Regions from separate parts of the Mus musculus genome. Here region 2 is reported to be linked to region 1. Evidence: microRNA targets listed by miRTarBase, many of them from high-throughput screens and not tested one by one. Region 1 holds a microRNA gene; the other region holds the end of a gene's coding sequence.

What was found. Region 1 holds the annotated microRNA mmu-miR-3084-3p (UUCUGCCAGUCUCCUUCAGAC, at 8,890-8,910, opposite strand). A microRNA usually pairs through its seed, bases 2 to 8, with sites in the 3' UTR of a target mRNA and lowers its output. Matches are read on the target gene's strand: a 7mer-m8 pairs with bases 2 to 8, a 7mer-A1 pairs with bases 2 to 7 and ends in A, and an 8mer does both.
Region 2: miRTarBase lists Mtif2 as a target of mmu-miR-3084-3p. Seed matches in the 3' UTR shown: 7mer-m8 at 14,856-14,862.

Annotation. Positions count from the first base shown.
Region 1 is chr19:24,933,351-24,949,085 of GRCm38, forward strand. It overlaps Mir3084-1 (microRNA 3084-1), which reads right to left and starts at 8,953; the gene lies at 8,885-8,953. Cbwd1 (COBW domain containing 1) reads right to left here. Exons shown (of 15, transcript NM_146097.3): 6 at 14,719-14,756; 7 at 9,333-9,379; 8 at 7,399-7,485; 9 at 5,046-5,090.
Region 2 is chr11:29,544,281-29,560,015 of GRCm38, reverse strand. It overlaps Mtif2 (mitochondrial translational initiation factor 2), which reads right to left. Exons shown (of 14, transcript NM_133767.3): 13 at 15,606-15,735; 14 at 14,564-15,103. The coding sequence ends at 14,931. It overlaps Rps27a (ribosomal protein S27A), which reads left to right and starts at 11,976. Exons shown (of 6, transcript NM_024277.2): 1 at 11,976-12,175; 2 at 12,271-12,335; 3 at 12,756-12,810; 4 at 13,228-13,313; 5 at 13,594-13,725; 6 at 13,987-14,174. The coding sequence starts at 12,288. The coding sequence ends at 14,136. It overlaps Clhc1 (clathrin heavy chain linker domain containing 1), which reads right to left and starts at 12,066. Exons shown (of 12, transcript NM_028504.1): 1 at 11,876-12,066; 2 at 6,254-6,512; 3 at 3,760-3,980; 4 at 2,230-2,363. The coding sequence starts at 6,430. It also overlaps the pseudogene Gm12090.

The DNA of each region.
Region 1 (15,735 bases):
TACACAATTATAAACGCTTATCTTGGCATAGATGGACAAATTCCCATCTTATTAAACAACAAATACCACAACATTCTGTGTTAATATACTATATCAACACTTCACATTCTGGACACACTAGAGGTGCTGAGCCAGGAAAACAATAAAGCAAGGAAGCAAATGGTCTGTGAAGAAATTTCTGAGTATCAATTTACACTAAGAGATGGAAATCCTAGTGTTAAGCATACTTCCTTTCCCACCTTAACTGTTAAACAAGAACAAGCTTAAACCATGAATTTGTCATCTTCACTGAAGTCTGTAGGTACCGATTCTGTGAACACCCTTCTAACTACAGCACTGCCTCACTGTGACAGTGTCCTTGAGAATGCTACCATTTAGAGATAACCACACTGTAGCAACTCCACTAAGTACTATTAAAAATCAAAGTACCAACAACAACCATCAAATTCTCAGTGACAAGGCATGAGCTTCCTTCCACATACAAGTTTTTATGAACTTTCCCCCAAACTAGCACTGCTTTGGAAATGAATGTCTCTTCTCATTTAATACATGTCTAGAAAACTTTTTATGGAATTGTTTAATTCAGAAATAAAAATACCAGACATTTTCCCAGGCATTCAAACCATAAGATGGAAAGACCATTACCATTTTAAATTAAATATGAAAATAAATCAAGGGAAAAAAGAGTTCACTCGTCTCCTACTGTCTTATATAGCCTGCAGATGCTACTTTAAGGAAACTGCCTAACCACCTTTTAAAATTCAATGAATTGCTCCACAGGGTTCACCTAGTCTACACACTTGCTGTTATTTCCAAAAGCATTGTGCTAAACTCTAGCACTAAATTTCCAAATGTTGTTCCAAGTGGATCTAAAACTCAAGTGATTATAAAATCAATTCATTGTCCTTCCTAAAGCCATGCTCATCCCACTCTATGCAAGTCTTGCCAACCTTCTTGTACGCCCGGAACTTCAGAGACTAGCCCGCAGTTGAGTTCACCCTTTAATTCTCTCACTGTTTTTAAATCTTTCAGTAACTCCTTGTTGCCTACAGAGAAAATCCTGTATATTGTGGCATTCATGGTCCTCACACACCTTTTCTCTCAGCCAAATGCAGCCATGTGTCCTAGTCATTCTAAAATATTATCTCTGTATTTTTTGTTTTGTTTTGTTTTGTTTTTTTGAGGCAGGGTTTCTCTGTGTAGCCCTGGCTGTCCTGGAACTCACTGTGTAGACCAGGCTGGCCTCGAACTCAGAAATCCGCCTGCCTCTGCCTCCCAAGTGCTGGGATTAAAGGCGAGCTCCACCACGCCCTGCTTATCTCTGAAATATTAAGTGAAGATTTTCTTCACTTGCACACTTATCCTGGGAAAGCACCTGCACTCCAGGCCATCTGGGAAATTTTTCCCTTCACTGTTCAAGACTAATCAACGATCATTTTTTTAGTTAAGTTTTCCAGACTTCATCAGGAAAGATCAAATGGTCATGCCTCTGCTTTTTATTCTTACAGAATGCTGAGCAATTTTTCTTTCTATTGTGATATATTAATACTATCTAAGGTGTTGCTTTTTGCTTGTTCACTTCTCAGTTTTCCCCCAAATGATTGATCACTCCAGTGTCTTAAAAGTACTTATGTCTTATCTGTTGCTTAATTCCTGATCCCACCCTGAAATGCCTAGAACTAGTGGAAAACTGCAATGGTTGTTAAATTATTATTGACCAACTGTATTTTTATTTTCCTCTGTTCAATTTTCTTGAATCTTTAAAAACCTTTGTTTGTTTGTTTGTTTGTTTTTTGAGACAGAGTTTCTCTGTATAGTCCTGGCTGTCCTGGAACTCACTCTGTAGACCAGGCTGGCCTCTGCCTCCCAAGTGCTGGGATTAAAGGCGTGCACCACCAAGCCCGGCCTGAATCTTTAAAATCTTAAGAAGTCCTTAAATAAGAATGCATGCCTTCTTGACGGATGCCCTGGGGAAGGGGAAACCCATGCCCCACCAGAGTTTTACCTATGCTCTGGTCTGTCAGGCATGGGAGAGCTGCCATACACTTTCCACTCAGTCCTGGGTGGACATTCAAGCCTCTGACCCACTCTTCAGGGGGTGGCCAAGGGGCAGCCCTACCTGGGAACCCTGGAGCTACTTTGCTAAAGCCACCAGGGTTATAGGAGAGAAGGATGAGGGAAGAGAGGTTCCCAACACCTGCAAGAGTGAGTGCAGCAGATCTTGACTGGAGCACAGAAAGGCCTTCTAATGGGTGGCTCATTAGGAGAAAGCCTGTCCCATCCTCCAAGCGCAGTGGGCCTTGATGAGCAGAGACATTCTATGGTTTTAGAGCTTTATTATAGAAATGCAGGGGGAAAGAGAGAGGGGGAGAGAGAGAGAGAGAGAGAAGGCCAGAGAGAAAGAGTAAGAGGGAGAAAGGAGAGGAGAGAAGACAAAGGAAAGAGGAGAAGTGAGAGGAGGGAGAACAAAGGAGTGAGAGAGACAAGTCAGAGGGCAAGGTGGGGCTGAACAGCCCTTTTTATGGTCTTTACTGTTGCTAGGTAACTGGGGAGGAGTTTAGCCTGAAGGTCAGAAGCTTGGGCCATTGCCTACATGACTTCTAGCCATGCTTCTCTTGTGGGGGCTGTGGGGGGCGCGGTAACTTAGGCAGGAGCCAGAGTTGCAGGAGCATGAGGGAACGCCTACCGTGTCATGTAGGTGAATTATGACTTCGGGTTCAGACCTCAGCCCAACTGGAGACAAGCCTGCAATTCCCCACACCTTCTAACTTTCCCTCCTACTTCCAATGTCTACAAAGTTCCATAGAAATTGTATTTGCTTGCCAATCCAATTAAACCTTGCCAGTAAGATAACACCTCACATGATTCTTACTATTTTACAAAGTTTGCTTATATTTGCTTATAGCACGTTCACTTTGCCAACTTTAAAATACTAATGGGATTAAAATGTTAAAAATAATGATTCCAATTATTCTGCTAAGAAATAAATCTTGTTTCTAAACTGAGAGGCCCAAGTTGTTGTTTGTATGTCTCTAGGAATTTGGGAAATTACATAAGATTCATGATCCAATAATAAGACTACTACAGATATCTGATCTTCATGGAAAAGGTCTCTAATTCAACTCCCAAGTTCCCAGCAAGGACATGAGTTCAGAGACTCAGATTCACTGCCAACAGCAGATACTTAAGAAAGAGAAGATAAGGACTGGTGAGATGGCTCAGCAGATAAGAGCACCCGACTGCTCTTCTGAAGGTCCTGAGTTCAAGTCCCAGCAACCACATGGAAGTCCCAGCAATCACATGGTGGCTCACAACCATCCATAAGGAGATCTGACTCCCTGTTCTGGTGTGTCTGAAGACAGCTGCAGTGTACTTACATATAATAAATAAATAAATCTTAAAAAGAAAACAATGTTTAAAAAAAAAGAAAGAAAGAGAAGATAAAGATTTTTTTCATTTGCACCCTTAATCCTTAAGCAACAAGTATGATTAGTATTTCTGTAAGAGAGCAAATGTTGGAAATGGTCAAATAAACAAAATCAATATATAAGCTAATCAAGAGGAACCTTTAGTTATAACATGGATAATTTCAAAGTGGAAACAAAGAAAATACAAACTAAATACATGCTGTCACAACAGAACCACAGTTACTGATAGATATGATTCTCAAAAGCTGATTTAAGTCTATGGAGTTGTCTGTCATTTATAAAAGAAAGAAAATCAAGGAGAAAACAGTAGACTGTGATAGGAATGAAGGCTGAGCAATGGCTTGGAGTATGTGTTAGACTTATCAGGTTTCTACAATGGAACTGGAAAATCTGGGAGTACATCTACTTATATAGTGCCTGTAGCAGGCTCACACTAAAGGCATCTGTGGCTCCTGCAAACACATACCAAATTCATTCCCAGCTGCATCCACACTCAGAGCAGCTGCTGCTGTCACCGCTTCACACTTCTGGCAGTCTGTCAGCACCTCTAATCTTTGCCATTGCAGACAGCCCACTCAGCTAAGACCTCTCTGCATTTGACAATGGAAAACTCTTTCAGCTAGAGGCTGGGTGGTACTAAGCTGCCAGCTGTGAGTCTGAGTCTATTGGCTACTAAGCCATTCTTGTCCCCAACATGAACTTAACAAAATATCCCTACACTGAAGTTTTCTGAAATCATCACCATTCAACAATAACAACAACAAAACCAGTTCAATCTACAAAAGAACAGTTCACAGAGGGTTTGTTGTTGTTTTTTCAAGAGAGTACAAATATTTTAGAAGATTATGCACATCTTTATGAACAGAACTACAGGTAAGAGAAAGCTATAAAAGCTGTAAAATATATAAAGGGATGCATTAATAATTTAAACATAATAATTTCATGTATTCTTATTACAGTTTTTTTTTTGCAAAAATAAGATTTTAAAGTATTAAAAACCTATTTAAAGGCCTTACATTAACATGCTTTTCCAGATTTATGTATCATAGTTGTATAGTTGCTAACAAAGGAACTAAGTATGGCAAACTAATTTGTAAAGAGCATTCAGACAATATTTAGGTATTACTTTAATGTGTCTATATCCTTGTTATAGCACAGTTAAGTTACTTATTTTCTGAGACAGGGTTTCTGGCTACCCTGAAACTCGCTCTGTAGACTAGGCTGGGCTTTAACTCAGAGATCCACCTGCCTCTGCCTCCCAGGTGCTGGGATTAAAGGTGTGCATCACCAACGCCTGTACTTTCTAATTTCTAATGTCTATTCTTAACTAAAGGCTAATTTATTTGTTGTTGGTATTAGTAATAGATTTTTTTCCTTTTCTTCCTCCCTCCCCACAATGGCATGTAGGCCAGGCTGTCCTTGAACTTTCTAAATAAACAAGGATGAACTTGAACTTCTGCCTCTGCCTCTGCCTCTATATCCAAGTGCTGAGATTACAGGCATGTGCATTCTATAGTTTATGCAGTACTACAGTCAAATTCAGGGCCTTGTGCATAGTAGGCAACAATCTCACAACTGACATACACCTCCATTTCTAATAGCAACTTTAAAAAGTACCTTGATCTCTGAGTTTCTAAAACTTTTCCCAGTCCATTTATTGATCTGAAATAAAAAGCAAAAGAAAGAGATTTAAAAAGTGGTGATTTTTTTAAAAGCATACAAAAATTATTCCTAAAACAAAAAGTAAACATCTTTTCTTTCTCTCCCCCACCCCACCTTTTGCTTTGTTCTGGTTTTTTGTTTGTTTGTTTTTGTTTTGCTTTTTTTTTGTTAATGGCTTAGAATTCTTTCTCTTCAAACCACAAATCTGGCACAATCTATGTGCATTCAAGAAAACTTGTTACTACAAAAAAAAAAAAAAAAGAAGAAAGGAAGGAAGGAAGGAAGGAAGGAAGGAAGGAAGGAAGGAAGGAAGGAGATCCTTCACTTTAGGAAGAGGCTAAGGCTATGGCTCAGTGGTACAGGCTTAATTAGCATGCACAAAACCACTGTTTCACCCCAGCATTGCCAAAAAAAAGGGGGGGTTCCATAAGAAGCAGGGATTCTTAATGTTCTTGTATAGTCAAAACTTTTACAAGACAGCCAAATTCTATACATATTCATTGTAGAAATGGAGAACACAAAACACCAAAAAAAAAAAAAGTTTCCCTTTGTATGCCACAAAAAAATTACTTTAATTCCTTTAAACATCTTTAACACCTATATGTTTTTGTCTTATTAATTCTCTTTTCTTTACAGACACATGTCCAAAATATATGCTGATGGTTCAATATGTTCTAATGGGTTCTTTCTGTATAAAATAATTCTGAGGTAAGTCTCATTTTTGGACGACTAACTAACTGCTAACTAACTACTAACTACTACTAACAAGAGTACTAATTTTCAATTCAGAGAAACAAATCTCCATTGTAAGAGCTCAGGAAGCACCCACTGTCAGGGAGTGCAAAGCTCACCAACAATTTCACAAGTCTCATGAGTACTTAAAGTAAACGTGTAAGATAGGTTTTATTCTTGTTTTGCAGATGATATTCAAGAAGCCTAAATAAACCTCCTCAGAACAGGAAGAAACAGATCAAGAATTACAACCAAAGCAGACTTCAACTCCCATATTCCTAAACATTATGCAGTATTATCTGCCTTCCATATGAGAAAGTACTTTTTGTAGCAAAATCTAAGGATACTATTATTAAAACAAGAAAAAATATAGAGGGAAAGTATGAATTTCTTTCTCTTGCAATCATAATCATTAGAAATGACTTAATAGTTATGCATTTTTGATTCAGTTTTATACCATGTACTATATAAATTAGTGGTACTACAGTCAACATGTGAGGCCAATAGAAATGACATTAAATGTGGTAATACTAATTCATTATAAAAAGCTCTACTGTGACTAAAAGTGACCAATAAGAAAAGCTACTGAAATATACGGCATTGCCTAGTTTAAGTATTACAAAATAACTCAAAACACAATCTTTGGATTTTACTCTCATTTGAAAAGTTCACCTTTGGCTTCAAAAGGAATGAGAATCTCCAAAACAGCCAGCAAGATGACTGTTTGATATTTATTAATAACATAGTATCATTCATATTAGTCTATTTTGATTACCCTTATACATAGGCAATGAAGACATAAAGCAAAGACAAAGGACAGTTGATAACTAAGGAAACCATTAAAATCAAGAAGGGTTTACAGGGAACTGGCACAATATGAGCAAGATTTCATTAAGGAATGGGAAGAAAAGGGAGAATAGGATCTGCAGATGAAAATACATAATATTATATGTTATAAAGGAGGGATAGACTCAGAAACTGGTAAGTGAGAAAATAGTAGTTGGGAGCTGGTAAGACACATAGATGAAGAAGTAAATTAACTGTCTTAGAGAGGTAAGGAGGCTTGCCCTTAGGAAAGAGTCAAAGGACAGACAGGAAATGGAAACTCATAAGGAGAGTCAGTGGACCCAGAATATCAGCCAAAAAAATCTGAATTATGTTTTGCAAGAGCTGGTGAATTATTTTATACATTTCTATTTATTTATCAGTCAATTAGCCAAGAACTATATATATGATTCCTTTATGATCCTTGAAGCAAGTCAACCTTAGACCTTATCTTATATTCCTATAGAGCAATACCCATGGTTTAAAATATTTTACATGTTAAAATTTATATTTGAAGGCATTTAACATACTTATAATTTTCACTGTTCACTAAAACTGAAAATAGATTTATTTTTAATTGGCATGTAAGAGCTATATATAATAATGGGGGTCATGTGACATTTCAGTACGTACAAACTATTGCACTTCAGTAAACAGACCTAGCTTCTCCAAATTTATCATCTCTTAATGGTAAAAACATCAAATATTCTTTCTTCTGGCTTTCAAACTACAATAGTCAAGTGCACTGTACCTGATAGTTGTTCTTAAGTTGTTTAGCTCCTCTTCTGAAACCAAGTCTGTTTTATTGATGAGAATCATGTCTGCCAATGCAACTTGCCTAAAAGAGCAAAGGACAAGTGTCAGAAAAAAAATGTTAAGAACTCACAAAACCATAGAAACATATTTAAGCCAACATTTCAATTAATAACTAGCTTGGGTTCAGTTTACTCCCAACCTACTCACTCTACAGAAGAATTCCATACATTACTTTGTAAGCTCATCCAAAAAGAATTATTTATTGATCCTATAAAGATAAGCCTCCAGAGTTTTAGATCAGAGAATAATTTTCAGTTCACAAGTGTGTGTGTCTGTGTCTCTGTGTGTCTGTCTGTCTGTCTGTGTGTATATATATGTTAAAGAAATGCATAAAATTTAGTATCTACTATGATGGGAATAAGGACAGTCTAGTTGATAAAAAAGTTATAAAATTTATCATAATTTTCAAAGAAATATAAAATTCACTTAACATTAAGTAGTTTGCTTTAAAAAACTACTTTCAGGAAATTCAGGAAATTCTAACCACTGGACTACTATTTTCTAATCTGTTCTTTTACAGGATTAGAAATAAAATTAAAAAACATGAGCAAAATTGAAAAAACAAAAAACTACAGAATTTATATCACAACCCTACTTCTGTGTAAGTAATCTTATGTGGCTAAAAACAGAATGCACACATCTCCAAATCTTTAAATTTACTCTTTATGAACTTTACATTTTCTGATATTTTCTATTTGCTTTATGTATATTTTCTACAATAACTATTTTGGTGAAAAAAGTTACAATCATACTTAAATTCATTTTAATTTAAATCACATTTGTACAATAACAAAAAATTTAGGAAGGACAACAGAAGAATTCAATAATAAATTGAATTCAATAAACCTCAAGATAACAAGAAATCATTTGTCCTCACTCTTTCTTTCCTATCTCAGGAGGCCTCACTCCTAAGCCCAGCAGCATATTTGGTTTGTAACCCTTCAGCCCATTAGTGAAGATATACCTAGGGTAAGGAAAGTACTTTAAATACTTGTAAGTCTACGAACAAAACAAAAGAGAACTTAAAAGTACTTACCACTGTTTTCAGTACCAAGTCACAAGTATTTCAGTAATTGTTCCTCTGTACTGAGTAACAGTGGGAAGTGAGGCAGTTTTTTTTTGTTGTTTTTTTTGTTTTGTTTTGTTTAATAACAACAGCTACTACTTAATCACACGTTTTCTGTAAAATTTCATGATAGCTATAGGAAGCAGAAATTATGCCCATTGTTCAAAAAGGGAAAAACTGAAGTTCATACAATTCAGCCCAGCAAAAGACTACTGGAACTTGGGTTTTAAGCCCAGGTATGACTACATTATACATATCTATGTTCTGAATTCCCAATTTCATAAATGAAAGAACCTAATGGTCACATTCATAGATAAAGTCCTGCTACTTACCCCAATACAAATATTTCTAATTCTTTTTGTCTGAAGGAGACTGGCAGAATTACTATATTCAGTTACTCTGCTAATTAACCTTCAACTATTTGTATAGCACATAAGAAATAACACTGCTCACATTTTCAAAAGAAAGCAGGTCAATGAAATGTGCAAGAGGCAGTTTTTAAGGAAGCAAATTAACTATCTTCAATTCCAAAGGGGCATGAGAACAAAACGCTTCTAAATGTTAGACTCTTCTAAATTCATAAAGATCAGGTAAGTCTTATGTCTACCATTCATTTTATCCCACAATATAAATGGCTTAAATAAAATGCTAGTCATGGGTCCATGAGGGGTAGACAGTAATAATGTGTGGAAGGAAAAGGAAACAAATTTGTCTTAACTATCTTTCTTTTTTTTCCGTTTGTTTTTATGTTACTTCTATTTTCTAACAGGTTGGTAATTAATATAAGCTTTAAATATGAATACCTAGTAGCTTCATTGACAAGGCCATCAGGTTTTTCTTCAGTTAAATGCTGAACAAAACAAAATTTAAAAGAATTACTATAATACAATACAAAAATCTAATATCAACACAAAGGATTTTATTTTAAAGCTACCTATCTTGTCTTAATGAGACTTTAAGTTCTATTCCTAAATACAAATTTACAGAAGACTTTTGGTTTAGTTAGTTGCTACACAGAATTGATTTAGAAGGCCATTCACCTTTTCACCTCTGAAAGCAACCCCTCTCTCAATAGTAGTTATATCCTGAAGTCATCTATGCTAGCATAAAAGGGTTACCAGAGGTTGTCTTTTGCAAATTCATGTTTTCAACCACATGACTCTCAACAGAGACTCCCGATCACAAGAAAAATCTGGCTACTAAGGGCGATAGACAACTAGATTATATTAACACTTCACATTTTAATGGACCTTTATATATACTTATTTAATTTTTGCAACATTTTAACTCGTTTAGGCATTATGACTATATATATATATATATATGTTATATATATATATATATATATATATATATATATATATATATATACACACACATACACACATACATATATATATGTACTTTTATATATTACCACCAGACTATTTTTTACTAAAAGCACGCTTGATAGAAGTAAAGTGAACACTATTTAAGATCTTTTTAAAAGCTTTTTATGCCATGTACAACCAGTTTTCTAGAGAATATTACTTAATTGTTGCATAAGAGAATATGTAGGATTACCTACAAGTTCCATCATATTTATCACTCTAGTTGTACAATTCATGGGGAGGTAACTATCATAGCTTCGAACTTAAGACACACTGATGATTATTCAATAGACTTGGTTAAGATTATAGAGGCAACTTTTTTTCCTTCTAAAAGTTTAACAAATACTATTTAGGTGTGACAAAACCAAAGTCATGACCATGACATAGTCATTTCATTTTTTTAATACAATTTTTTTTAAAGATTTATTTATTTATTATATGTAAGTACACTGTAGCTGTTTTCAGACACTCCAGAGAGGGCGTCAGATCTCATTATGGATGGTTATGAGCCACCATGTGGTTGCTGGGATTTGAACTCTGGACCTTTGGAAGAGCAGTTGGGTGCTCTTACCTACTGAGCCATCTCACCAGCCCCCTTAATACAATTTTATAAATTCAACCACATACTCACTTCCCAGTTACAAAGCTCACAGAACACAGAGTGTAATGTATCATCAATAACTTACTCCATGCCAAAAAGACCAAATTTAACATTCATGCTTTCATAATTATTCATGGTTTCTCACTATTAACAAATCCATTCAGCATGATATTCTCTGCATTTAGAGACTAAAGCTATCAGCAGGCCCTGGAGCAGTCCATGAATGACTTGTAGTTAACAGTCCCATTTGTTGACATAAACACAGGAATTTTGTTATTGAAAAAAAGCTATCCAACATGTGGCAACACATCTCTTTCCACTGAGCATTCTATCTACTAAAAAAATGCCATCTGCCTCTGCATGATCCCTTTCAACATTCTTTAAAACTAAAATATTTTTCAAGATGATCTACTGGAAGCTTCATCTGCATGCATATCAATTGATGTATCTGACTGTTCCTTGTAACATGTAAAAAAGGTATTAAAATGACTTTAAAATTGTTCTTAAATATAATTTAAAAAAACTTGGCAGATTCACAAAGCAACTTAACAAAGGTTTGAGACATTTATTCAAGATAAAATTTCATCTAGAGCTAAATGGCACAGACCAAGACTTGATTACCTTTAGGAAATATTAAATACTTAAAATAACTTAAAACCTCCAAAAATAAAAGTCTGCCAATGTATACAACTTGATTACAAATACATGTGACAATCATAGAAGAGATAAATGCCTTGCCTATTCACATATGAAAGCTTTCTAAACATAAAAAGTAATAAATGTATACTAACACTTATTTTCTGAGTATCAGCACTACAGGTTCCTTACGAAATTCCTACTTCCCAAGCCAGGCTTAGCAAAAAGACCAAAACTCTGCTTGCCACTCAGAGGTTATTTGGAAGCAGGACTTCAATTTATAAAATAAGAACAAAAATGTAAATTCTGATGTTCTAATCTACATATACAGGCATACAATTTAAAAGTTTTATAAAAAGATACCAATCTCCAAAGAAGTCCTCATCTCTGCTAGACTGTAGCTTTTGTTTAGGTTTAAAAAATGGCAATAATAATTTTGGCACTAATGAACCCAACAAACCAACATATTCAAAAATTAAACGTTCAAACTCACAGTGTGACCTACAGCAAAAGCAGTAACAACAAAAGACGTGAGGTGACGGTCAACGGACACAAGTCCTAGTTTCTCAGGAGGAATAAATTCTGGAAACTTATTCTGGAAAGCTAATTCATCAGGGCAACTATAATTAGGATTATGGGAGGGAATACTAGGAATCTGCAGTTATCACACCCTCTAAACTAGCAAAAACTAGTAACTATGTCAGTGGGTGGTCAAGGTTAACACTTGATTGTCCCACAATGTTTGCACAACATATACACAGACAGATCAGGGTAGTAAATTGTATGCCTTAAATCTATACGATTTTTATTTGTGAGTTATGGCTCAACAAAGCTGGGGGACACAAAGAAATGATTCAAAATAAATTATTACTATAGTCACAATTTCAAGAAGAGCTCCCAGAGTGCTTTCCTGCAGAATCAAGAAAAAAAGCAAGACCAAAGAAAATAAATCAAAATGGTCTAAAATTTCATTATCTGAGAAGGAACTGTGCTGACCACAGTAGAAACAAATCCAATGTCAAAGATGTCAGACATCAGACAAAGAAAAAGGAGAGAAATAGCAGCATGTATTTGTTTTGTTTTGTTTTGTTTTGTTTTGTTTTGTTTTTGTTCTTTACAAAGACTGGCTAGTGATCTAATGTGGTTTCAGCTTTGAAAAAAAAATTATTGCATAATGTCAATCTACTTATTTTCCTGGCCTTTTCCAACCCAAACTGTTTTCTGACTGAATTATTTCAACCTCTTGTGCAATACAACAGAAGGCTCAAAAAGAAACCTCTTACTTGACCTTTTATGTGTAAACTTCATTCATTGATTCTATTGCATTAAATGCTGTCACATTTGTAGAACTAAAAAGAACAATGTCAATGCCTAGATGTCAAGCCTTGAGAATAGAGAGCTGTCATTTTAAGTTGTCCAATTCTTTGGCCATGATTAAAAAATGAATATTTCAGATCAATGGGTGACAATCCCATTAGAGTGATAGGCTATGATATCAATTACCACTTCAGTTTCAATTTGGCTGGCTGGCCACAGGGTACCATTTCTCAGCTTTACTTGTGATGGGCTGGCTCTGTGAAGCATGACACCCTTAAATTGCTGCCCATTATCCAACTGTCATTACTTGTACTGCCTCAGAATTCTTTGAATCACAAGCAGCTACTGAGGTCAAGCTTTGCAACCAGAGGAATTGGACAAGTTGGCAAATTCTTTATATAAAGGCAAAGTTATTTATCTGACATATGACTTGGAAAATCTAAAGTTTCCATTATCCTGACAGTATGTCAGTTTTGTGTAGGTATATTGATTTAATAATTTAAGAGGTTTTATCAAGGTGGCAAGGGGTTAAACATATACTACATTTGTATTATTCAGAACATTGCTTTGTTTGGGGGATCTTTATCATGCCAGTAAAAGATTCTATTTAATTCCTCTCTATATCCAACTATAGGTATAAAATTATTTCTATAAGCATAAATTGCTAGAGTTTGACTTTGGATATAGCATGTCAAATGTATAAAAATAAAAGCAAATAAAATGTTCTGGCTGCTATCGTATGTACCCCAAATTTGTGAGTCAACTTAGAGAGGAAATTAATTCAAACATGCCTAAAAATATATTCAAAACAAAGAATTTGAAATTTTCTGGTGCTTTCTTTTTACATTTAAAAAAAAAGTTTTGAAAACAGTCATTACGGTGACTTATAACTTATCTTTAAAACACAAAAAAAACAAAAAAACAAAAAACAAAACCTCATTAAGCAAAGTGTGGTGACCCTCAGCTATAATCCCAGCACACAGATCTAAGAAGGAAGAATATGAGTTTCAGGACAGACTGGATTCCAAACCAAATTTAAGACTTCATGAGCTAAAGAGTAGACCCTTCGAACACACACACACACACACACACATACAGCCTTTAGAATTTTTCTGGCCAAAAGTATAATATTTGCAATCTTCCTTTTATCCCTAGTCTACTCATAAATTTAAATTCTAAACTCTAAAACAGGATTCAAATGTGTCAAATTAGGGTACTAAGAGTGAGGGTAGGAAGAGCCAGTAACATAGACTTGTAGCCATTTGGACAGGCCTGGTAAATTTTCCTAAAACATAATTTTATTGAAGATTTGGGAGAAAGACCAACATAAAAATTAAATTTAGATACATCAAGGGGTAAAATATTAAACTAACGTTTAAACACCAAGTTTATACTCCCAAGAAATTTTGCTCGTTTTCTGAGACAGGTTCTTACTATACAGCACTGGCAGGCCTAGAATTCACTACGTGGATCAAGCTGTCCTCTAACTCACTGACATCTGCCTGTCTCTACCTCCCAATTTCTGAGACAAAGGTGTATGCAATCATACCCAGCCTGTATGAAATTGCGAGTTTGTTCCCAGTCCATATGCCCAGACAGGCTGGAGAGCTGATGCCAGCACAGAGGCAGGCTCACTCTCCAAAGCCTTTTGTAACATTTGTTTCCTTAAAAAACTTCTCAGTTCACTTGAAAACCTGGGAAATGCTGTTTATTTTAAGCAGCAATAAGCTGTTAAGATCTTAGTTCATTTTATTTGTTTTTTTTTTTTTTTTTTCCTTAGTTCATTTTATAAATTGAGACAAACCTTAAAGACATCAGCAGTTAGCTAAAGTATTCACAGAATACTTCAAAATTAAATAAATCAGTACTTTAAGAAAAACTAATGTAGTTTGTGTTTCCTAACAGTTTATAACAAAAACTAAGATCTCATATAGTTTATTAGGCTGGGTTTTTTTTTTCCTATAAAATCCAATAATGGGAATGGATTCTAGTGAGAATAACACGTATCCAAATTTTATCCTATATAACCTTATAAAATACCATAGTAACTCCAATTTTTAATCACAACACCCAACCTAAAATAACACCCAGACTAAAATAAATACTAAGTTTAAAAGCACACAATAATAATAATAATAATAATAATAATAATGGCACATACAAAGTGCATCTTGAAAAAGATTTTTCTTAAGAAACAGAAAACAATACAACCAACCCCTTATTCCTACTCCTTGACAATTAGCAAGTTATATTTGCTCAACTTACTTTTAATCCATATTTTGAATCTACAACAGTTATGATACCTATAAAGAAATAAACATATCAGTCATTTTTTAAAGTTATCAGTATTATGCAACTATACTTGAAAAATTAAAACATATTTCAGTTCACAAATGTTATTCCATAAAATATTTTTTCTCTAATCAGTGTGGCAATTTAACTCAACCTCAGGAATAAGTTAGCTCTGTTGCTAAGAAACTAGAAAATTTATAAAATAGAAATTTTAAATTAAGTCAACAAAAAAAAATTCTTTGGTGTTTCAAACCCAAACTAAGACAAATTCCATAATACATAGTAAAGTAAGAAAAAGTATATAAGGCATGTTGTTTTTATTTTCACAGTCAAAGTGAAGCTTTTCTAAATAAATTGTTTAAAGAATCTGAGCCATCTTAGGATATTATATTCCTGCCCTCTGCTAATACACCTAGCTCACAAAAACAAAGCATCATACCAAGTATCTAAGTTCTCAAAAGATCAATTAGCTCAGCAATTTCAGAATATAAGTCAAATCGTTTTTAAAAATAACAGCAGAATCTGATGTCTATGAAACACAACAAGCTACATGCTATCTATAGTACTTCTCAACGAAACACAGCTTCAAAGATTCTTATCCTATAGTCTACATGATTGGTTTAAAAAGAAAGGAGAGACAACAGGAGAAAGTGAATATAGTTGCCACACTAAGAAAGTACTATCAAGCTTATAAATTTTTACAGACTGACAAGAGTTAAGTAGCGTATGTGTGTTTAGAAGCATTCTTAATTATTTTCAAGGAAAAATGAAAGCAGAGAATGAAAGATCATTCTTTCCATTGTCTTCCTGACTCCCTACAAAGCTCTAGCTAACTAACTAAGCACACCATGGCAACAGAGGACACAGGCAGTCTGCAGAGTAATTTGAAAGGAAAGCCTCGGTGGAAGTCCGTAGTCAGAGATGATATCAATAGCTAACCATCTGGTGTTATCACTTTCTAGGACTTTAGAACCCTATGAACAAAACTTG
Region 2 (15,735 bases), not on the chromosome of region 1:
CACTCTCTCTCTCTCTCTCTCTCTCTCTCTCTCTCTCTCTCTCTCTCTCTCTCTGAGGGAAATATTAAAAAATGACCCACCAAGTTCCTGTGCTACCATCCAGCTACTTTCTGACTTCGCATGGTCCCATTGGGCTACTCTCTGCCCTCCAACTCTCTCTGCCCTCCAACTCTCTCTGCCCTCCAACTCTCTGGCGGGCCTGGAGAGCTCCCTTCGCTGCCACACCGCGCCAGCTCAGTCTCTAGCTAGCCCCTACAGTGACTGATCGCTGTGTTCCCAGCTCTTTGGCTCCGCTAGCTCCTTCTCAGCCATAAACCCCTGTAATTGGTGGTCCCACATTCCAGTAACCAAGTAAATCAAAACTCTTGAAGCTTTTAATTAACCAATCAGATTTATGTATCAATAAATTCCCAATTCACAAGATGCCAATACAATAATTTCAGAACCAACTGATAATAATAAAAGCTGCCCACCTAAATTAGACAAATTATTCTAACCTTTATGATATACCTGTAGCTATTTAAAGCCAAGCTGGTTCAGGTTCTTCTTCTGTCCTTCCTGAGATGCTCTCTGTCTCTGCAACTCTTAGCTCCGCCTCCCCTTTTCCTGTCCAATCACAGGCCTCCTGCTGCACTAATTATTTTAATGTAATTGGACAGGGAAAAATCCTGTCACACACACTTGTACTCTTTAATTCCAGTACAGAGAGGGATAGCGGGAGGCAGAGGCAGGTGGATTTCTGTGTGGTCAAGGTCATTCTTGTCTACATAGGAAGTTCCAGGATAGCCAGGTTACATAGAAAGAACCCATCTTAGATCAAAATAAAAAATAAAAAATAAGCCGGGCGTGGTGGTGCACGCCTTCAGTCCCAGCACTTGGGAGGCAGAGGCAGGCAGATTTCTGAGTTCGAGGCCAGCCTGGGCTACAGAGAAACCCTGTCTCGAAAAACAAAACAACAAAACAAAACAAAACAAACAAACAAAAAAACCCGAAAAATAAAAATAAAAAATACCTACAGAGGGCATGAGAGACGGTTCATTGGTTAAGAGTGCTGGTTCTACTAACAGAAGTCTGGGTTCAATTTCTAGTGCCCACAACTGTCTTAACTTCATTTCTAGGATATATGATACCTTCTAACCTCTATGGGCACTGGGCATGCATGTGGTACAAAGACATACATTCAAAACAAAACACCCACAGACACAAAAAATAATAAAAAAAAAATAAAGCATTAAAAAACAAGACACACATCCAAATCTACCCTCTCCAGAATTTCCCTATCCTCAGGATTAACCCTTTTAGATTTTAAGCATTCTTTCCCCATGACTCTTGTTGGTAGTAAACCAATGTGCCATGTATTCTGTGTTTATTCACATTTATTATTTGGAGTTTGTTAGTCACGATTTTGCATTTGAAAGTAACCCTACTATTACCAAATGCCAGAGAATTTGAAAACCTGGGTTGATAAAAACACAGCTTCTTCAATATAGGTGAAATATGTCTTTCTAAAGTTTTCACGTACTGGTTCTGTCTCTGGATAAATACTGTGCAAAAAACTGCTTTAAGTACTGGAGTTACAATCCTTAGTCTTGAGTCATAATCTGTTCATCAAAGTAATCTCTCCAAGTTCTACATGAAGCTAGGATATGAAACCAGTAAACTCAGACATCACCACAAATGTCTTTCAGCAAACTTAATACACTAGAGTTGTTAGTGCACCAGTGGCTCTCAATCAGAATAATCAGAACTTCAGATGTCACCCACTGGACTCAACCACCAAGTTTCTGACATTATAAGTCTGAGATAAGATCCACAAATGTGTGTGTGTGTCCACTTGTTTCTACCAGTCTCTGTCCACCCCAGAACTGGATTACAGAGCAGGCACTGGCTTTTGCATGGGAGAGGGGTTTGAACCTTGAGTTTGCACAGTAATCACTTTAATTGCTAATCTTACCAACTCCACAGATCTTCACTTCTAATAGTTCTCAAATGATGCCAACATTGATGTGAGAGCTTCTGACTGCACACCATGTGACCTGGGCAGATTGTAAGTCTTCACATTCTTCAGGATTGCTTGAAGTTTGCTCTGTCCTGGACAGTACCCTGCCTAAAGTTGCTTGTACAACTGACTGTTCATATATGAGCATCTTATACTAGCTGTGTAAGAGACAGCCAACGGGACACACTGGGGAATGTCTCTGGTATAGAACTGTACACACGATACTGCACCTGGGATAGGTTTCCAAAGCTGTCTGGAGGGAGCACAGAGCTTTACTTCTTTCTTGTCATACTCCATTCTCAGCTGCTTCATCTGATCTATTTGCAATTGAATTGCTGTGGAATTATTTTCAATAATCCTCATTCTTAAAAACAAAACAGAAATGTTTTCATATGCTTGTCACAACCAATCTAATTCTTGATTCACAATATTTAAAAAAAAAGACTAGATTTTTGTTTTATTTGACTAATTATAATTTGAGCCATTATGAACTAGAAGTTTAAAAATCCATACTCAGAAGGTGACACACCACAAATAAGGAAAAATTCCCTCTCAGATCGCCAATAAAAGCATAATACAAGCTGGGTGGTGGTGGCGCACGCCTTTAATCCCAGCACTTGGAAGGCAGAGGCAGGCAGATTTCTGAGTTCGAGACCAGCCTGGTCTACAAAGTGAGTTCCAGAACAGCCAGGGCTATACAGAGAAACTCTGTCTCAAAAAACAAAACAAACAAACAAACAAAAAAACAAAAACAAAATAAAAACAAAAAAAAAAACCCAAAAAAACACAAAACCAAAAAAAAAAAAAAGCATAATGCAAACCCCATTTCAAATCAATAAATGTTATCTAGCCAAAAACACCATCTATTCAGTTACAACTGAAAATGTATTTTTAGTTTTCCTTTTTTCTTTTCTTTTTCTTTTTTCTTTTGGAAGGGTCTCCTTATATAGCTAAATTTGGCTTTGAATTTGTTATCTTACTCCTTCAGCCTCCCAAGTGCTGGATTACAGGTATGAGCCACCACACTAGGCTTAAAGAAGCTTTAAACAAACAAACAAACAAGAAACTGTCATTTTGCTGGGGGCTATTGCAACAATTATTACACATTTGGTGACTTAAAGTAACATTTATCTTCTCACCATTCTGGAGGTCAGAAATTCAAAGTAGTATTATTAGACCACACTGTAGCCAAGAAACGAGCATTTGGCAGGCTGAGACAGGAGGATTGTTCTAAGTCTGAGCTACATAGTGAAATCTAATTTTTTAAAAATCGTTTTCAAGGAGGATTTTGTTCTCCTTGGTGGGTTTCTTACTACTGGAATCAGGAGATTAAGTGCTGTCATTCAAGTGGGAAGCATGAACTTGTATTGACAAATCTTCCATGCATGAAATAACTTTCTTCCTTTTATGACACCATGATGTAACTTCATAATATCAAGAGGCATCATACAAATTCTCAAGCAAAATTAAGTTTAACTTGAAATATAGAATAGTTGGTAGAAGGGAATATAAAATATAGCTTAAAATAACATTTTAATTAAAGGCAGGCATGGAATAATCTTGTAACCTGTAACTTGAAGGCTGAAGGCCTTGAGCAAGACCAGCCTGGTGAATTCAGCTAGCTCTGACTAAAATGTGACACCCTATCTCAAAATAGTAACATAAAGAAAACAGTGATTTTTTTTTTTTTTTTTATAAAAGACTCGCTGATTACCACCCAGTAGCATGACACTTTTCTAGTTAGTTATTGACACACTCACTTTGCTTCGAGTTGGATTGCTCTTCTCTGGTGATACACCAATGCTGTAGGCTCTTTTGCCAAAACTTTAAGTTTTCCATGAAGATAAAAAGCAGTTCTTCGGCCTTTCTTTATTGTCTCAATAAAGGCGTCATATTCTTTTTTGATTGCAGTAAGAATGGACTTGTATGCACTGACATAGTCTATTACCTGAAATATGATTTTTCTGTCTGTGGCACTGAACTTTTTTAACAGAAAATATGGTGATGAAAAGCCTTTTAAGGAGGCTATTTTTAGGTGAAACATAATTATTAATTAGACATATAAACATCTTACACAAACTCAACATGAGTAGGCACTAAAAACAATAACCACCAAGCATATGCTCTCCATGGGTCACTATGTAGACACTGTGATCCTAGATATGAAAAGGGCTTTCTTATGCTTGGTATGAACTCACACATGGGACATGAACTGATATAATACTAGGTTTACATTTCTCAACTGGAGGTCTTTTAATTATATATCTCTTACTCCTTTGAAATCTAGTCTCTTGACTTAATTTTTACATTATTTTTATACTATTTTTAATTATTTCTATGTGTGTCTGTGTGCAGGTGTGTGCATGTGAGTGTAGGTACATGCAGAAATCAGAGGTTTCAGATCTCCTAGAGCTGGAGTTACTCGTAGTTATGACCTACCTGATGTGGGTACTAAGAATCTAACTCAGGTCTTCTGGAAGAGCACTTTACGCACTAGTTAACCACTGAGCAATCTCTCTATCCCCCACGGAGATACTGTAATCTGAACTCATTCACCTCCACTAGGAAAATCAGATCAGAGCTCCTAATTGTATCTCTATTCTCAACATGTCAAACAACTGTGAAAACAGTTTACATGGCTACATAGTCATAGTTTCCAATAATATGTAAGCAAAGCAACTTTCAGGAAGTATAACAGAGAAAAAGAACAGTAGAAAAGTTAACAAAGCCTGGCGGTGGTGGCGCACGCCTTTAGCACTCGGGAGGCAGAGGCAGGCGGATTTCTGAGTTCGAGGCTAGCCTGGTCTACAAAGTAAGTTCCAGGACAGCCAGGGCTACACAGAGAAACCCTGTCTTGGGGGGGGGGTGGAGAAGAAAAAAGAAAGAAAGGTTAACAAAAAAACCTAAATGCGCTCAGAAAGGCTACTTTCCATGAAGCAGGGGAGGAGCAGGGAGTGGTGGAGGTGGCTCCACAGCACATGCCCCTTTATTAGGGCTGTTTTTTCTTAATCTTGTATATCCATCACTGATATAATACTAGGTCTACACAAAAATTATCAAAAAATTTAAATAGGTTATGAAACAAAACAAAAACTTTGTTTTTTAAATATTGATGATGTATAGGGAATAAAAGTAATCGATCCAAAATTTTCTCTGAAATCTGAAATTATGCTTGTTTTTCTCTGCTACTTTTCTTGGGTGTGTTATCCCCTACAAGTGGTTTTGTTTGTTTGTTTGTTTAGCTAAATAGTATCGAAAGAAAGTTATCCAGGAAGACATCCATTTTTATCACAAGTGATCTAGAGAGGTCATTAATCTGCAGCAAGTACCAGGAAAAGGCAGCTGAGGAATACAGTGCTCTTTTTAATTTTTTTGCCATAGCCACACCCCGTCTACCTCAAAGAGGACCCTTTCATAATGAAAAGCTTTCCACACTAAGTATCTGATACATGTTCATCTTTTAGCTCACGTGTTCCTGTTGTGTGCTCTAATAACCCAACTCAGGTACATGAATGGGTAGTCAATACGACTACAGTAACTCCATGAACAATGATCATGCCAGTGTGCTACAAGAACCAGGTCTCAGCAGAACACCGATGGATACCATTTAGAATATACAGAAAAGCATTAAAGTGGAAGCTGCAAAGGAATACCACCATATCTAGCACTCTAAAAGGGCTCAAACTGTTTAGATGAAATTCCATTCATTGATTCATTCACTGATTTTATGTCATAATGTTGTCCATGGTGGCTGCCAACTCCTGGCTGTGTAGGATTCCCCATCTTCAGCCTCCCTACCAGCTGGGATGACTGGCATGTGGCATAGCACTTGGCTCAAGAGGTCTCAATTTACCATGCCATATCATATCTAAACCAAGATTTTACTGATACCACAAACAAACCCAGAACATAAAATACTAGTTCTTGTTCATAATGCAAATTCTAGCAAATTAGCACCTTCACTTGAAACGTTAGAAATGATTACCAGAGGGTACAAACCAGTTATTGGGGGAAAAAATACTACTTGCTAAACTAAAATAATTGACTCTAACTAGCCTAACTAGTCATCAGGAAATGTAAATTCTGCACTTGAGCTTTCCCTCTTCATCCTGGTTTAACAAAAATGGGTGAATTTCCCCAAACTAGCATTCAGAAAGCAGTGGCCAGGCAGGCAAGTAGCATTACTGAGGTGGTAGTTAAGCTAGGTAACAAAGAGCCTCTTGAAACATGCCCTACTCAAGAGCATCATGGTACCTTGTCGAAAACGTTTCGGTATATGGTGTAATATTCATCAGCAGGTCCTTCCTCTTTGCAACCCACTCTTTTGGTTTCTGTAGTTATGTATCTTTGTATGCTTTCCAAAAACTCCTTGTCATTTCTACTAACGATAGGAGGGAGAACTGCATGTGTGTTTACTTCTTGGACGGACATAAATCTTAATCTGTAAGCTTGTTCACCGGAGAAAAATTAAACCTTGACCTTCTTTTGCCATAAAGCCAAAGCTTTAGTGAGCCTGAAAGAAAACATGATAGTCAGTTAATGTGTAGGTGTAAACCTTTTAAGTCAAAAGTCAATTTAAAAATACGTATGTGTCAAAAGGAAAATTAAGAGATCTGTTATTGAGATAAATATTCCAGTCAATGACTTAAAATGTCCATTCATGCTAGACTACAGAATACAAATGAAATGTCAATTAAGAACTCCTCCCTGGGGCTGGAGAGATGGCTCAGTGGTTAAGAGCACCTACTGCTCTTCCGAAGGTCCTGAGTTCAAATCCCAGCAACCACATGGTGGCTAACAACCATCCGTAATGAGATCTGATGCCCTCTTCTGGTGCATCTGAAGACAGCTACAGTGTACTTAGATATAATAATAAATAAATCTTAAAAAAAAAGAACTCCTCCCTGCTCTCCCTCTCCCTCCCTCTCTCTCTCTCTCTCTCTCTCTCTCTCTCTCTCTCTCTCTCTCTCTCTCTCTCTCTCTCTCCTTTTCTGGCTGGAACCACGGAGGCTGTTCCAGAGAAGAAAAAGAAGGTTGCCACTGTGCCAGAAACCCGTAAGAAAAAGCGAAGGAATTTCACAGAGTTGAAGGTGAAGCGCCTGAGGAAGAAGTTTGCCCTGAAGACACTTCGAAAGGCAAGGAGGAAGCTCATCTACGAGAAGGCACAGCACTATCACAAGGAGTACAGGCAGATAGATGTACTGGACTGAGATTCGGATGGCCAGGATGGCAAGGAATCTGGGAACTTCTATGTGCCCAGAGAACCAAAACTGGCCTTTGTCATCAGAATCCGAGGTATCAATGGAGTAAGCTCAAAGGTCCGCAAGGTATTGCAGCTTCTTTGTCTTTGACAGCTCTTCAATGGCACCTTTGTTAAGCTCAAAAAGGCTTCAATTAACATGCTGGGGATTGTGGAATCGTATATTGCATGAGGCAACCCTAACCTGAAGTCAATAAACGAACTCATCTACAAGCGAGGCTACGGCAAAAATCAACAAGAAGCGGATTGCCTTGAAAGATAATTCCTAGCCGGGCAGTGGTGGTGCACGCCTTTGATTCCAGCACTTGGGAGGCAGAGGCAGGCAGATTTTTGAGTTCAAGGCCAGCCTGGTCTACAAAGTGAGTTCCAGGACAGCCCAGACAGCCAGGGCTATACAGAGAAACCCTGTCTCGGAAAAAAAAAAAAAAAAAAAAAAAAGATAATTCCTTGATTGCGCTATCTCCTGGTAAGTTTGGCATCATCTGCATGGAGGATCTAATTCATGCGATCTATACAATTGGGAAATGCTTCAAGAAAGCAAATAACTTCCTGTGGCCCTTCAAATTATCTTCCCCACGAGGTGGAATGAAGAAAAAGATAACTCACTTTGTAGAAGACGGAGATGCTGGCAACAGGGAAGACCAGATAAACAGGCTTATTAGACGGATGAACTAAGGTGTCAGCCATGGTATTTTTGTAATCTGGTCAGTTAATAAACAGTCACAGCTTGGCAAATTGGAAAAAAAAAAAAGAACTCCTCCCTGTTGGGCAGTGGTGGCACATGCCTTTAATCTCAGCACCTGGGAGGCAGAGGCAGGAGGATTTCTGAGTTCGAGGCTAGCCTGGTCTACAGAGTGAGTTCCAGGACAGCCAGAAAAACCCCCATCTTGAAAAACAAACCAAACCAAACAAACAAACAAACAAACAAAACAAAAAACCAAAGAACTCCTCCTTTAGGGCACAACAGATAATGTACTTGCGGGCAAAAGCCTGAAGACCTGAGTTAGAGACCAAAACAAAGGTGGGAAAAGAAAAACCGAACTCCACAAAGCTGTCCTCTGACCTCCACACAAGAAACCCTGCCAGAATGCTGATCAAGCATAGAAAACCCCCTTTCCTTTGGAAACCAAGCTGACTCCTCTCATGTGTATCACTTAAATGATAGCTTCTTAGGTTTCAATTCAACACTTAAAAACAAACCCACCATGTATTTCAGAACACTGGGGATAAAATCAGTCTCTAGAACATGGTAAGTAAGCTATGTACCACTGAGAAATACTCCAGCCCTCTGTTTAAAATTTTATATCACATTTTAATTATTTTAAGGTGTGTGAAATGGAAAGTAGCTGAGACTTTGCTCTCCCAAAAGGTTTCTTTTTTCATGTGAGGAATGACTGTGTATGCTTCTTGCTGATACAAACAAGGTCAAATACTTCTCTACCTCAGTGCCTGTGACATTGATCTATCAAACAATGACCATAGTTAGTTGAGTTTTGAATTGTTTTAAATTGTTGTTTAAAGACAGGCTTTGTGGCAACCCTAACTTCCTAAGTAGCTGAGAATGACCTTGAATAACTCACCTTCCTGCCTTCACTTCCCATATGACAAAAACACACCACATGCTTAAATAAACAGATCAATTCCAATAACAACAAAACTTGACTTCTAGGGCTGGAGAGATGGTCCCAGTTAAAAGCACTGGTTAATTTTTTATTGAATCTGGATTTGATTCCAGCACCTACATAGTGACTTACAACCATCTGTAACTTCAGTTCCAGCAAACTGATGGTTTCTTCTGGCTTCCACTGGCACCAGGCATGCAAGTGATACACCAGACATAAGCACAGGCAAAGCCCATGCACACACACAGAGACATACACACTCACACACACACATACACAGGCAGAAAGGGCCTTGTTGGGAAGAAGGGTTTCAGTAGGAGGAGTTAGGATGAGACAGGGTGATAGTGAAAAAGACTAAAACTCACTAAATATATGAAGCTATCAAAAAAGAAAAATTTTAAGCTACTGCTGTGGTGGGACACACCTTTTTTTTAAATTTTTTTTGGGACACATCTTTAATCTTAGCACTTGGGAGGCAGAAACAGTTGGATCTTTATGAGTTCAAGGCCAATTTGGTCTACATAGTAAAATCCAGACCAGCTAGGGCTACACAGTTAGATTCTGTGTCAAAAAACAATGTTTATTTATTTATTCTAAAGAGCTCTAATGATAGTATTGCATAGTTTTTCATGGCATGAGATTCCATTAATTATTTAATCATCCCAATTAGTTATTGAACTTTTACTACTATAAATAATGATGTGTTGAATAAGTGTTTCAGTTAACTTTATGATATATTGGCAATATAGCTATATAACCAGTTATCTAAACTAATGTATTGAGCTTCAAATACCACAGACATGAATCAGGACACCAGTCTCCATAGTGGTGCATGTCTTTAATCCCATCACTTGAGAGGGAAACAGCTGATCGTCTGTGGGTTCAAGGCCAAGTTGGTCTACATAGTGAGATCCTGGCTAGCCAAGACTACATAGTACGGTCCTGTCTCAAATAAATAAATAAACTAAAAATAAAAAAAAAATAAGGGAGACACCACAATAATTTTGATGAGTTGGATAACAAAAAGTCAAGAGGACATAATTTACAAGAGGACATAAAGTAGTCTGAGCAAAGCCATAAGCAATGTATGCTTAAAGTGCCAATTTTACAAAAACAATCACTTAGTGTCTGTGTGTGGGCACATGCTTGTCACGGTACACACATAGAGGTCAGAGGACAATTTATGGAAGCCCGTTCCTCTTCCTCCTCCATGGAGGTTCCAGCAACTGGATCAGCAGTCTTGGCAGCAAGTGCATTAGCTCTTGGAGCCATATCACTGCCCTAAAGTGTTCTCAAATATAAAATCAATTTGTTTTACTCATTAGTTCAATCACTATTGGATGTCTATTTAATATTTTACTGCTAGAGATTCAGCAATAAGTAAAATAAGGTCCTGGCTCCTTGGAGCTTAAAATTTGGTAAGACACAGATGATGTAATTGCAAATAGTCAAAGACAGGGGAAGGGCACAGTCACTGGGGCACACATCGGAGTAGTAGTGGCAGAAACCCAAGTTCCTCCTTTGGTGTCCTATTAATATCCTTTTAGGGGCTTTTATTCTGACAAAGCTATCTTTTTATGTTATGCCCTTGTTCCTACTTGAAGCAACACATTTTATTCTCTGTAGTGTTGGATATCAATTCTAGGGCCTCACACATGCTCAGATAACCTTTAACCCCAAAGTAAAATATTTGAATGATGTGGAATAACACCATCACTTTTTGCTTTTCTGTTTATGTTCACATTCGTGTGGGTACATGTGTGGAGACAGGAGGATCACGTTATATTGAGTGTGTGTGTGGGTCTTCTTAATCAGTCTACCTTTTATTTTTAAATTTTTATTGCACTTCGTTAGTTCGGGGGTAGGGAGCGCTGTGAAAGTCTGAGGGCAACTTGCTAGAGTTGGTTTTCTCCACCAATTGAATCTCAAGGTTGATCAGATCTAGAGCAGATGTAAATTTTCTTTACTGATGGAGCCATCTGGAAGCCCCATCTTATTTTAAGAAATATGTATGTCATGTGTGGGTGTAGGGTCGTCGGCCCCCATCTCTCATTGAACCTGCTGGCCAATGAGGTCCAGGGAGTCTCCTGTCTCTGCTGGCCTACCATGTCACAGACTCCACCAAGCACACCAACCTTTTTAAAAAGTGGGTGCTTGAGTTCCAACCCAGGGTTCTGCATATCGAATATTAGCTACTGTGTCATCTCCTAGCCCTACATTTTTACTTTTCAAAATGTGTAATTTGGAGGCAGCAGAGCTAGTATATTAAAATGAGGAAAGAGCAAACAGAGATTATTAGGGAGTTACGGATCCTCGTTGTAAGAAAACGGAGCACGCCTACGCTTACGGATAGGGTGAAAAGACATTGAGAGGGTGCATTAGAAAGGGCACTGGGTTTGTGAGGTGGAGAAGGGACTGAGAGAAGGCACCAGCTTTTAACAGCTTCAAGTTTCCCCGAGGGCACATGCTCCTATTTTCTCCAGGATGGACACGCTCCACATTTAAACTTATAGTCGAAAACTAAACATTCTGCAGATTTTCTTATCGTATGTTTTTTAAAACGTGAAAAGATGAAAATTCCAATACATTTAACCGTTTCATACTAGGGAGGCGCGTGACGCTCAAAAGCTTCTTCCGATCGGATGAAGGGTAGCGGAAGGGACTACCGGGAGGGGCAGAAACCTGCACTTAGAAAGACTTCGACTATACCTTAGATGTGGCTAGCTCACTACGGTGTGACAGACACCTTCAGCCCCCAAATGCCTTTCTAGCCCTTAAGCCTTCCCTCCGGGGCATTTCCAGAGAGTCCCCACCCACGCGCAAATCATAGTGCCTCATCCCCTGAGTCCTCACCTGACTCTCTCCTAACCCTCACTCCACAGCTTAGACAGTGTAATCAGGTATCCGGGAAGTGTGGAAATGCATCCTGGGACAAGTAGTTCTAACAAGAAGAAAGCAGTGTAAAACTACAATTCCCAGATAGACTTGTTTTACCTCTCTCTTATGTTTCACAAGCCCCCTTTAAAGGAAAGCCTCTCTTAATCGCATCGGCTGTATAAGAAAGCCTTTTGAGGCATTTTTTTTAGTTGAGCACATCATTTCGAGGCCATTCTGAGGTAAACCGAGAAAAGAGCGTAAAGAAACCGAGCGAACGAGCAAATCTGGCACTGCGTTAGACAGCCGCGATTCCGCTGCAGCGCGCAGGCACGTGTGTGGCCGCCTAAGGGGCGGGTCCTTCGGCCAGGAGACCCCGTCGGCCACGCTCGGATCTTCCTTTCCGATCCGCCATCGTGGGTGAGTGTATGCTCTGTGGCCGCGCTCTGGCTAGTGGCGCTACGCGTCGCTCTCACGGGTGTCGTCGGATCTAATCCGTCTCTTTTCGAATGCAGGTGGAGCCGCCGCCACGATGCAGATCTTTGTGAAGACCCTTACGGGGAAAACCATCACGCTCGAGGTACGGGCCACCTTGCCGTTGAGGAAGCCAAGGCCTGACTGAGGCCCTTAGTGTTTGAGGGCGGGTTTCTGAGTTTTGAGTTGTGAAACTTGGCTTTGAGCTGAGATTATGGTGCTTAGCAAAAACAACGTTTGGTTTTCGGTGTGGTACGGTTTAGCCTGCTTTATCCCGAGTGGCGAAATGTAGGGTAGGTGATGGGAGACGCTTTTCTCCGGGCAGACGCGTTCCTGTGCTTCCCCCGCCGTCGCTCGCCCTGGTATGGGGACTAATTTGGATTGTAGCACTCTGGGTAGTTTGCACGCGGTGTCATCTTAATTGATTACCTTTAGCTCACCTCCTCCTTGCTCGTTTTGTATAAAGCTAGCAGTTAATGACTTACTATGTAACCGTATATTAACTACATATATCAAAACTTGGCAGGTTGAACCCTCGGACACTATAGAAAATGTAAAGGCCAAGATCCAGGATAAGGAAGGCAAGTAAAGTTTGTCACTAGAAAAATGACTGGCTTGTGTGACCTAGACACGTTTGTTCTTAAGGTAGAAAACAGATTAATAAATTTAGATGCTTTTGAAAGTAAAATATTCCTGACATTAGTGTCAGGCTATCTGATTAACTGGAAACTCTGCAGGACAAATCTTTTAAAAGTTAATCTAGAACTGTTTACTGAGTCACAAAGACGATAAAATGCTCAGGCTGGGCAATGGCCCAGTCCACACTTTAATCTCAACACTAAGGAGGTAGAGGCAGCCTGGTTACAGAGAAAGTTCCAGGGCTTTTACTCTTGGAAAAAGTTGCATCTAAGTCTGTGACCACTGTTAGCAATCATTTGATTCACAACAATGGGGAATGTACCTTGTTCTATTAAGCCCAGTATTTTTTCCTCTAATAGGAATTCCTCCTGATCAGCAGAGGCTGATCTTTGCTGGTAAGCAGCTGGAAGATGGCCGGACTTTGTCTGACTACAACATTCAAAAGGTTTGTTTGAGGGAAAACATGCAGAAAAAGGGATGATATTGAATCCACTAACACTTGCTGAGCACTGTAGCTGTTCCATGATTTTAAAATATGCGATGGTTGGTTGACCCTTTTTGTAGAGAGCAGTCTCCTGTAGCTCAGGGCCAACTTGAACTGGATTCCTGAGCCTCCTTAAAATTCCTAGTGCTGGAGTGACAGGCCCAACACCACCCAACTTTTTGACAGGCTGGAGTTAGACTTGTTGATGCTACAGTGCTGCTGTTTCATCTTCCACTAACAGGAGTCCACCCTTCATCTGGTGTTGAGACTTCGGGGTGGTGCTAAGAAAAGGAAGAAGAAGTCTTACACCACTCCCAAGAAGAACAAGCATAAGAGGAAGAAGGTTAAGTTGGCTGTGCTGAAATACTATAAGGTAAGTGTGGTGTTAGCAAAACATGGGTTCCACTTGGAATAAGATCTGAGCAACTAACTTTTGGAAGTACTTTTGGAGTTGAAAGTGAACTCCCCTTTGATATTTAAGTGAGTTTATAGAATTGGAAACAGGATTTTTAATTTGGAGAACTGACTTAAACCACTAAAAATTGGTACTGTGAGATCAATAGCTTGAGTCACTTAAATCAGGTTTCAGAATATGTTTTGTGAAATCATCTTACAGTAAATTCTTGTTTTGCAGGTGGATGAAAATGGCAAAATTAGCCGACTTCGTCGAGAGTGTCCTTCTGATGAATGTGGTGCTGGAGTTTTCATGGGAAGCCACTTTGACAGGCATTACTGTGGCAAGTGTTGTCTGACTTACTGCTTCAACAAACCAGAAGACAAGTAGTTGTGTATGCGTTAATAAAAAGAAGGAACTCGTACTTAGTATTGTGCTTTATTGTACATTTAAAGAATGTTTCTTTGGCTGTGTGATGTTGTATGAGCTGCAGCTGTCAAAGCCAATATAAAACTTGGCATCATGGCATGGCATGATGGCAGGCACTAAGGTCAATTCTTTTTAAGGGGTTGTGGAATATCCTGTAGACTTGGAAGTAGAAGCTACAGGACAGTATGTCTCACAAATAAGTTGAAGGTGCCAAGTCAAAGCTGCTTGGAATATATGGGAATAATACTGTATTGGTATGTGCATAAGCTGTTGAATGTTTTCAGTGTTGATTGGTAATTTTCCCCCTATATGAGAGATACAAGCTAGGCATGGTGGTACATAGTTAATTTCAGGACCCTGTATTTAAATGAAGGGAAAATATTTACCATTTTTTTAAAAGAATTATTTATTATATATAAGTACACTGTAGCTGTCTTCAGACACTCCAGAAGAGTGTCAGATCTCATTACGGATGGTTGTGAGCCACCATGTGGTGGCTGGGATTTGAACTCAGGACCTCCAGAAGAGCAGTCAGTGAGCCATCTCTCCAGCCCATTTACCTTTTTTTTTTTTTTTTATTTTTTTGGTTTTTCCGAGACAGGGTTTCTCTGTATAGCTCTGGCTGTCCTGGAACTCACTTTGTAGACCAGGCTGGCCTCGAACTCAGAAATCCGCCTGCCTCTGCCACCCAAGTGCTGGGATTAAAGGCGTGCACCACCACACCCGGCTTCCCATTTACCATTTTTAATGTGCTTTTAAAATCCTGGATCCCAGGAAGTCTTAGTTGGAACTTTATTTTCTTCATAACAAATGACTTGATCTCCCGGTTTGAATTCGACTTTTTCTTCATCTAAACTAAGACCACAGTCCATACCAGTTTTTATAACTGAAATGTCATCTTTATGGTGTTTCAGAGAGGTTAATGATCCTTAAAAGAAAAAAGTCATGCTGAGTATATTCAACAAATAGCAAGTTACCTACTAAAGTTGTATATATTGTGTAAGATCCATGTTCCATGGTAGTTGTAGAGGTCAGGACAATTTGGTTACTACCTTCATGGGATATTAAACACAAGCTGTAGGGCTTATGAGGCAAATGTCTTTACCTGCTGTGCTCCATTTCTACCCTTCCAGTGAATTCTGGGAGATTGATTTCATCTGAAATCTTCCATTTTAAAGATAGTCTAAGTCTTTATTTTTGAGGTTGTACCCAGAAAAAAAGTCCAAAGATGGCAGGCAAGTCTTAACTAGTGTGCATTGTGTGGGGTCTTGGGTTCAGTCCTCCGTTATGGGGACAAAACAACAAAGAGCTTAAATGTTGGGAGCAAAAATAGACTTAAACTAGGGGTGGAGCAGGGAGAGCATAGGTCTTGGATGGTTACACAGAGAGAGGGGCTGTACAATTTAGAAATAGATTTTGATATTGCTTACCCTTCCAAATAACTTGGCCGTTTCGGATTAATTTAAACTTCTTATGTCTTTCTAATTGTCCCTTTTGAACTCTGCAGCCAGCAACAGGAATTTTTTTCTTCCCTTCTGTTACAGTGAAGGTAGCTAGTAT